Coturnix japonica: one gene and its partner. The protein of the gene in region 1 purifies or fractionates together with the protein of each later gene. This does not show direct contact. Links are inferred from orthologs where the notes say so. Each region holds a gene or a part of one and is shown on either strand. Other genes may lie near its edges. The genes, in order: LRRC41 and DRG1.

Region 1 (2,980 bases):
CTTTGCCAGCTGGATGTCAGGTATTCTGTTGTTCTAAAGACACTGAATTTGTTTCAGGATGTCCAGAGCTCAGCTAGGCTCAGAATAGCAATGAAAGCCTGAGTACAGATTTTTTCTTTACTTAAGGGAACACATGGACAAGAAAAGTTTAGAGAATGCTGCAGTGAGCACTTAAAAACCTTAGGGAACTCCAGTGACTAAGGCCAGGCCATGCTCCCTGAGGTGCTGCACTGTCACATTTATAAATGAATCAAAGTTCCGTCTTAAAAGCAGCTTTCATTTTGTGCTCCCCTGCAAGGCTACTGCACACCTTCCTTGCTCTTAAGGCTAGAACTAATGTATCTATCTACACTTATTCATAGCCACCAGCGTGAACAGCTCTGTTCCCACTGCTCCAGCACAGGGAGAACACTGTCATTCCCCATCAGATCCTGCGAATGCCTCTGTATCCCTTTCATCTTCTTTGGTTTTCAACCTGAACCACTGCTGCTTTATTTATTTATTGAGCCTCAACAGCCATAAACACAGGCACTGTGTTATGTTCACAAAGCAGGTGGAAGGTGGCATTTCTGCAATATTGTTTTACTTGATTTTAATCCCATTTACATCCTAATGGCTCAGCTTACTGCGAGTACACAGGCATGAGAATCTAACCATAGCCATTCTTTCAGCAGTCTGGCATCCTGAAATTGTCATCTCCACTTGGCTATTATGTGCTGAGACTTAGTCTTGTGAAACTTTCTATCCATTTATGCATCTGTGCAAGAGAAATGATCTTTTAATCTAGAAATACGGGGATCTGACATCTCCTCTCAACGCTTTCTAAGAAAGAAATGATCCCTTATTGCTGAGGGCTGCATTGAGAGCTGTGGACTGGGTCAAGACCCTTGGGTCCAGTGAGCTGCTATAAGACTGAAGGGTGCTGACAGAAGCTTGAGTCCAACAGGATTTTAAGGTCATAGTGAAGACTAGTGCAGTTATTCATTAGGAGGCCAGGAGAGCAAGTTTTATGGTTTCTTCCCATAGTTGGTTTATAAAAGCTTTCAGCCCTTAATGCCATTGTGTTTCAGGAGCTGTTGGGTTTTTTTTTCCCCCAGTTTAAATTAATGGTTCATTCATACTCTGTATTGCTGAGGGAAGTTTGCATTGAAACATCCCCACATAGGTGGTTATTAGATGGAGCAGTAACTGCTCAAATTACAGCCTAGATTCTTAGTGACTTTTTTTGCCCTCCTTTTTCTGAGCAGCTCAAATTGCATCAAACCTGATGGGCTCCTGGAATTCACAAAGAAGCTGGAAGGCTACATCCAGCAGAGAGGGGGGAAGATTCAATTCACCCACTTACGCCTCTTCCAAAATTGGCTGGATCAGGATGCTGAGACAGCTCAAGAAGCACTTCGGCGTCTCAGAGCAGTGTGCAGTGTGGTCAATGACTCATGGGACTCTTCTCAGGCTTTCGCTGATTACATCAGTGTCATGTAAAGGACACAGGGCAGGAGAAAGCTGATCAGCATGAACTAAAACACTCCAGTCCATGGCCACTAAAACTTAGCACAGATGGAGGTTTTCTTCCTCTGGTTCAAGCAGGAGACAGTTCTTGTCACTTTTCTGTTCCTTTGAACAGTGAAGTGATATAGTGACCATTTGGGTCAACAGCTGTATTTCCAGTTAAAGTGGAACAGACATATTAAATAAGCTTCTATGATATCCTGCAGATCTCGACCGGGGTTTTTATACAGATTTCATGTTGGTTTACCAAATATCATATAAATAAATATCTCCACCCTTAGAGAAACTTGAAAGCTGCCTGAAAATAGACCCTGACAAGCACACCTAAGTGATGCAGTTTTTGAGCAGCAGGGTTGAAGAGGATGGCATCCAGAGGTCCCTTTCAACCTCAGCCATTCTGTTATAGTCTGTGATCCTTTAAATAAGAACTTCTCCTTCCACTTAAAATGAGTAGGGAAAAAAACCCAACTAAATAAAGCTCCCCCCCTTTTTGACCTTTTGTTTACCTTATAAAAAAAGCTGCATTCAATACAACATGCTGTTTGTTAGCAATCACTGATCAAGTTATCTGGGAAAATGACTGGTCCTGCCCCCATCCACTGTCTGCATCTTTTTTTTCCAGAGGCTTTGAAGAGTTGGGTTTTTTTTGTCATATTTTTATAATAAAAACAGAATTAAGAGAACCTACTGAAATGTGTATTTTATTAATGGGTTTTAACGTGATCTAATTAAAACACTTTGCCAGACATGGAGATCCTACCCATAATAAAGTAGTGACCAAAATGGAGCCTCATTTCCCCACTGTCTACATGTTCTTTAAGGTGAGAAGCCCAACATAAAATAAGAGGAAGTTTTTGGCACAGATTCTCATGATCCTGAATAACGAACCAAGGTTTATATTTTGTGACAGAAATGGAACCTGCACATTTTCAAATGAAGCTACCAATAAAAAACGTGACAGCATATCAAGTGCTTTAGAACTGCAGGCTTAACATAAACCTGAAGGCAGAATTTTGCTGAGTAGAAGGCACAGCATGGGAACCAGCACTGAATCTGATCAAGCACACAAGATCTCATTATTCCCAAGATGTTGTTTCTTGGGTATAAGACACAGCAGCAGAGACAAAGTGATGAACTCACCGCTGTTGCAGCAGATACTGACCAATGTTAAGGGCCTTCCAGCCTCTTAGGAGCCATGCTGTTCTGCTACCCCACAGCCACACAACCAATCCAGCATGTTCTGCTATCCACTGCCTTTCCTTGAAAGGGATTATAAAGACTGCCACAGCAGCCTGCCCTTGCCCCCATAGGGGACAGTAACCTGTTAGGGAATCCCTCGCTGCTCCTCATGGGAGTGGTGATGAAAAGTGAAGGTGACGGCAGCATCCCATGCAGCCTTCAGCACAGAGTCCTGCAGGCCCCGCTTATCAGCACAGTGGTTCCACTGGGAGAGGTCAGAGGTGCAGTCAGA
Region 2 (4,271 bases), on another chromosome or scaffold:
ATGCCTCCTTTATCCTTTTTTTTAAAGCCGATATTGGGGGGCTTGCTATTCAGACGTATTCCAAATCCCTCCAGTTCATTCTCAATGATTTTCTTGTGACCGAGGGGTTTCAGCACATCCAGAACAATCAGGATGAGATTACAGGTTCGAGCAACTAAGAATCAAAAAAGTCAACCCTCAAAAAAGCATGTTCTCACAGCGATGAAGCAGCACAGAAGACAGCTCAGTGGACTAACAAGATACAACCCAGATCATTATGGTTTTTTAAATGTGCTGTAAGATTTACTGCACAGAGCAAGAACCAAAGATGCTGGAAAAACCTTCCTTTCTATCTACATTCAGACACACAAGGATGACAATAAGCTACATAAAGATGACAAAGCAGCATCTTTGTTTAATAGATTCTCATCTGCCTTTAAAATTGGTAGCAGATTTTCAAGGCTGTGTCAACATATGACTTTAGGTTTGCTGAATTTAACTGAAACAAAGGAAAAAGACAATGGCTAATGTTTCACATTGAGCAACTGAATTCCAGCATACAATCCAGCTTCATGAATGTGTCAAGAGCAGAAACTCAGCCATTCTCATAAGGCATAATAACTGAACCAGCTTTGGATGCTGCCTCCAAGCTGCACTACACTCACCTGCAATGACTTGCCGTCCTCTGCCTTTTCCATCCTTGGCACCTTCAATAATTCCTGGCAGATCAAGTAGCTGTTGTTCAGGAAAGGAAAGGGACATATGAGAAAAAACAAATGTTTCTCTTTAAGATAAAATCTATTTGTACCTTTCTTCTTAAGCTGCTGAATTTACTGCACATCTTAACAAGACAAAGAGCAAAATTATTTCCACTTTAATTCCTACATACAGTGTTACTCCTATGGAATAGATAATACCAGAGCATGAGAACTACCACTGGAACTGTTCTCCAGAGAAAAGCAGAATAAAATTAGAACCTCACAGAAACATTTCCAATGTACTCTCGAGCACTTTTACAGATAAATTCTATTCTATTCTGTCCTAATACCATTATATCTATATATACAGTCTTAACTTCATAGACACCAGAAGATCTCACCTGTATCTTTGCTCCTTTGTATCTAATGACTCCAGGCACAGTAGTTAGTGTAGTGAACTCATATGCTGCCACTTCGGAGTAGACACCAGCAAGATTACTGAGCAGAGTAGACTTTCCCACTGATGGAAAACCCACAAACCCAATGCGGGCATCACCTGTCTTTGCAACATCAAAACCTGCAAGGAAATGACAAGAATTGACAAAGCACCTAAAGCCATTTCCTCATCTCCTACAGCTCTGCAGAGCCATATCACCGTTAGTTTTAATATTGCCCGAGTGACAGACAGGTCAGCTTTCCTGACAGGCTAAGAGCAGGACCCAGCCCGCACACTGCACACTGCCCCATTCACCACCTGCCTGCAGAGCAGAGCACCGCAGATACTTGGGCTGCACTTCACCCAGCTGCTGTGTGAGCACTGCAGCTTCCCCCCCCCAACACACACACACACACACCTTTGTATGTGGGCACAGACGTCCATTTCACACAAAACCCTCAAGACTTCTGCAAACACACCGTTATACCACCAAAACGCAGAAGTTCTTTTATTTACTCTTCAGATTCAACTCAAGGCCTCGGGCAGGGCCATAACACAACACCAAGCTACGGGCAGGGCCATTACATAGCACCCTGCTATGGACAGGGCTATAACACAGCACCCTGCTATGGACAGGGCTATAACACAGCACCTGCTATTGACAGGGCTATAACACAACACCCTGCTATGGACAGGGCCATAACACAACACCCTGCTATGGACAGGGCTATAACACAACACCCTGCTATGGACAAGGGCATAACACACAATCACCTCCTGTTTCTATGGATAGGGCCATCAACAATCAAGCACCTGGCTAGTGGATCAGCGGCCATAACACAACACCCTGCTATGGACAGGGCCATAACACAACACCCAGCTATGGACAGGGCTATAACACAACACCCTGCTATGGACAGGGCTATAACACAGCACCCTGCTATGGACAGGGCTATAACACAGCACCCTGCTATGGACAGGGCCATAACACAACACCCTGCTATGGACAGGGCCATAACACAACACCCTGCTATGGACAGGGCCATAACACAACACCCTGCTATGGAGAGGGCTATAACACAACACCTGCTATGGACAGGGCTATAACACAACACCCTGCTATGGACAGAACCATAACACAACACCCTGCTATGGAGAGGGCTATAACACAACACAACACCCTGCTATGGACAGGCCCATAACACAACACCCAGCTATGGACAGGGCTATAACACAACACCTGCTATGGACAGGGCTATAACACAGCACCCTGCTATGGACAGGCCCATAACACAGCACCCTGCTATGGACAGGGCCATAACACAGCACCCTGCTATGGACAGGGCTATAACACAACACCCTGCTATTGACAGGGCCATAACACAACACCCTGCTATGGGCAGGGCTATAACACAGCACCCAGCTATGGACAGGGCCATAACACAACACCCTGCTATGGACAGGGCCATAACACAGCACCCTGCTATGGACAGGGCCATAACACAACACCCTGCTATGGACAGGGCTATAACACAACACCCTGCTATGGACAGGGCTATAACACAGCACCCAGTTCCGTTCAGCACACTCCACATAACACAGCCCGTCCCACGCACCTTCCCCCGGTCCTCCTCCTCCTCCTCCCTTTGGTGTGATCAGCTCCCTGCGCAGTTTCGCCAGCCGCGCCTTCAGCAGCCCCAGGTGATGCGCCGTGGCCTTGTTCTTCTGCGTGCGGGCCATCTGCAACAACGCGGAACACAGGGCTCAGCCGTCCGCCGGGCCCTGCAGGATCCCCCCGCCCCGTGACGGAGCGGCTCGGTGCCGGACCCCGCCGGCTCGTTACCTCAGCCTCGATCTCCGCGATCTTCGCCAATGTCCCGCTCATGGCGGCGATGGACCCGGACCTACCGACCGCACCGCAACTACCGACCGCACCGCAGCCTCAGGCCGCTCCTCAGGCCCGGCCGGCAGCGCGCAGGCGCACAACGGCTTCTCGCGAGAAGCTGTGGGCGGGAAGCGGCGGGCGGAGCGCTGCGCTCTGCTCACTGCTCTGCGCACGGCACTGCACTGCACGGCCGGAGGGGGGCGCTGCTGCGTGCCGTGTGCAGCGCCGTGAGGGGACGGGCGGGAGCGTGTGTGAGGGAGAGCGGGAGTGAGGGAGCGGAGCGTAGAGCCGGCGTTTGCTCTCACGTTATATATCTACATGTCAAATTGAACGTGGTTTATAATAAGAAGCACGCTGTGCCACGCACTGTATAGAGGCATTTAAAAGGATGCTTGCACAACCACCTGCTCCGCCAGCCGGGATTCTGAGAATTGCAGCACCCAGAATGTAACTTTACCACAGCTTTGCTTGTGGAATTGTTATACGTTGACCTACGGTAAGAAGTAAAGCAGGGAGAGCTCCTTGCACAGGTCTCTGTTCTCATTCTTCCTCTCCTGGTCTCCTTCCCGCCCCATGTGAATTAAAAAAGCCATCTTTCACGTCACGAGCTCCGTTACAGTTGGAACTGTCATTAATATGAGCTTATGTAGAACTTAATGAAATAGAATCTCAAATAAAGTGGGATTAGAGCTCCTAGTAATGTTAGCTCAGGTAAGCCAGGGTAAATACGAGTGCACCTACCGCCGTGTGTTTGTTCATGGAATTCTAATTATTCCTTTGTGAACAATACTGGCTTTTAACATAGGACGCAGCAGGTTCAGCACTGCCGTTAATTTCTTTTGCTTCTCACTTCAGTTGGAATTTGACTTGTTTGATCCATAGCTGAATTCAGCCTTTAGTCCCTGACATTTGTAGTCCTGTTTGGTAACAGGAAAAAACATGAAGAAAAGTGCAAATGTGGGATGCTTAACCAGACTGCCTCTGTATTTGCAGAAGGTATTGATAACTGCAGGGCTAAAGCAATGGCATTAGTTGTTTTCACAGCCCAACTCCAGATCTCACTTACTGTGTCAAATTAAATCTACAAGTGTGGGATGAATGAGCAGAGATGTCAATAAATGACATTCTTAAGACAAAACTGCTCAGTACACAACCTTAAATCCTTTTTTTTTTTTCCAGAGAGCTATTCAAGCAAAGGTCCTCTAAGGACCTGAGGCACTTACAAACTTCTATCAGTGTTGAAAGGAGTAAAAGTTTCATTGAGATCATTTGC

Evidence for each region.
Region 2: the proteins of LRRC41 (region 1) and DRG1 purify together in Homo sapiens (affinity purification with mass spectrometry; 3 studies listed by BioGRID and IntAct, counting the BioPlex papers as one, with this or other methods). This does not show direct contact. The link is inferred for Coturnix japonica from reciprocal best matches to the Homo sapiens genes LRRC41 and DRG1.

What each region holds. Positions count from the first base shown.
Region 1 is NC_029523.1:19,158,140-19,161,119, reverse strand, and holds the end of LRRC41 (leucine-rich repeat-containing protein 41), read left to right. Parts: coding exon 1-20; intron 21-1,247; coding exon 1,248-1,482; 3' UTR 1,483-2,192; downstream 2,193-2,980. Other genes in the region: RAD54L (DNA repair and recombination protein RAD54-like), read right to left, coding at 2,834-2,980. UniProt on the Homo sapiens protein: Probable substrate recognition component of an ECS (Elongin BC-CUL2/5-SOCS-box protein) E3 ubiquitin ligase complex which mediates the ubiquitination and subsequent proteasomal degradation of target proteins.
Region 2 is NC_029530.1:7,969,454-7,973,724, forward strand, and holds the start of DRG1 (developmentally-regulated GTP-binding protein 1), read right to left. Parts: upstream 3,110-4,271; 5' UTR 2,999-3,109; coding exon 2,957-2,998; intron 2,854-2,956; coding exon 2,730-2,853; intron 1,255-2,729; coding exon 1,079-1,254; intron 715-1,078; coding exon 645-714; intron 155-644; coding exon 1-154. UniProt on the Homo sapiens protein: Catalyzes the conversion of GTP to GDP through hydrolysis of the gamma-phosphate bond in GTP. Appears to have an intrinsic GTPase activity that is stimulated by ZC3H15/DFRP1 binding likely by increasing the affinity for the potassium ions.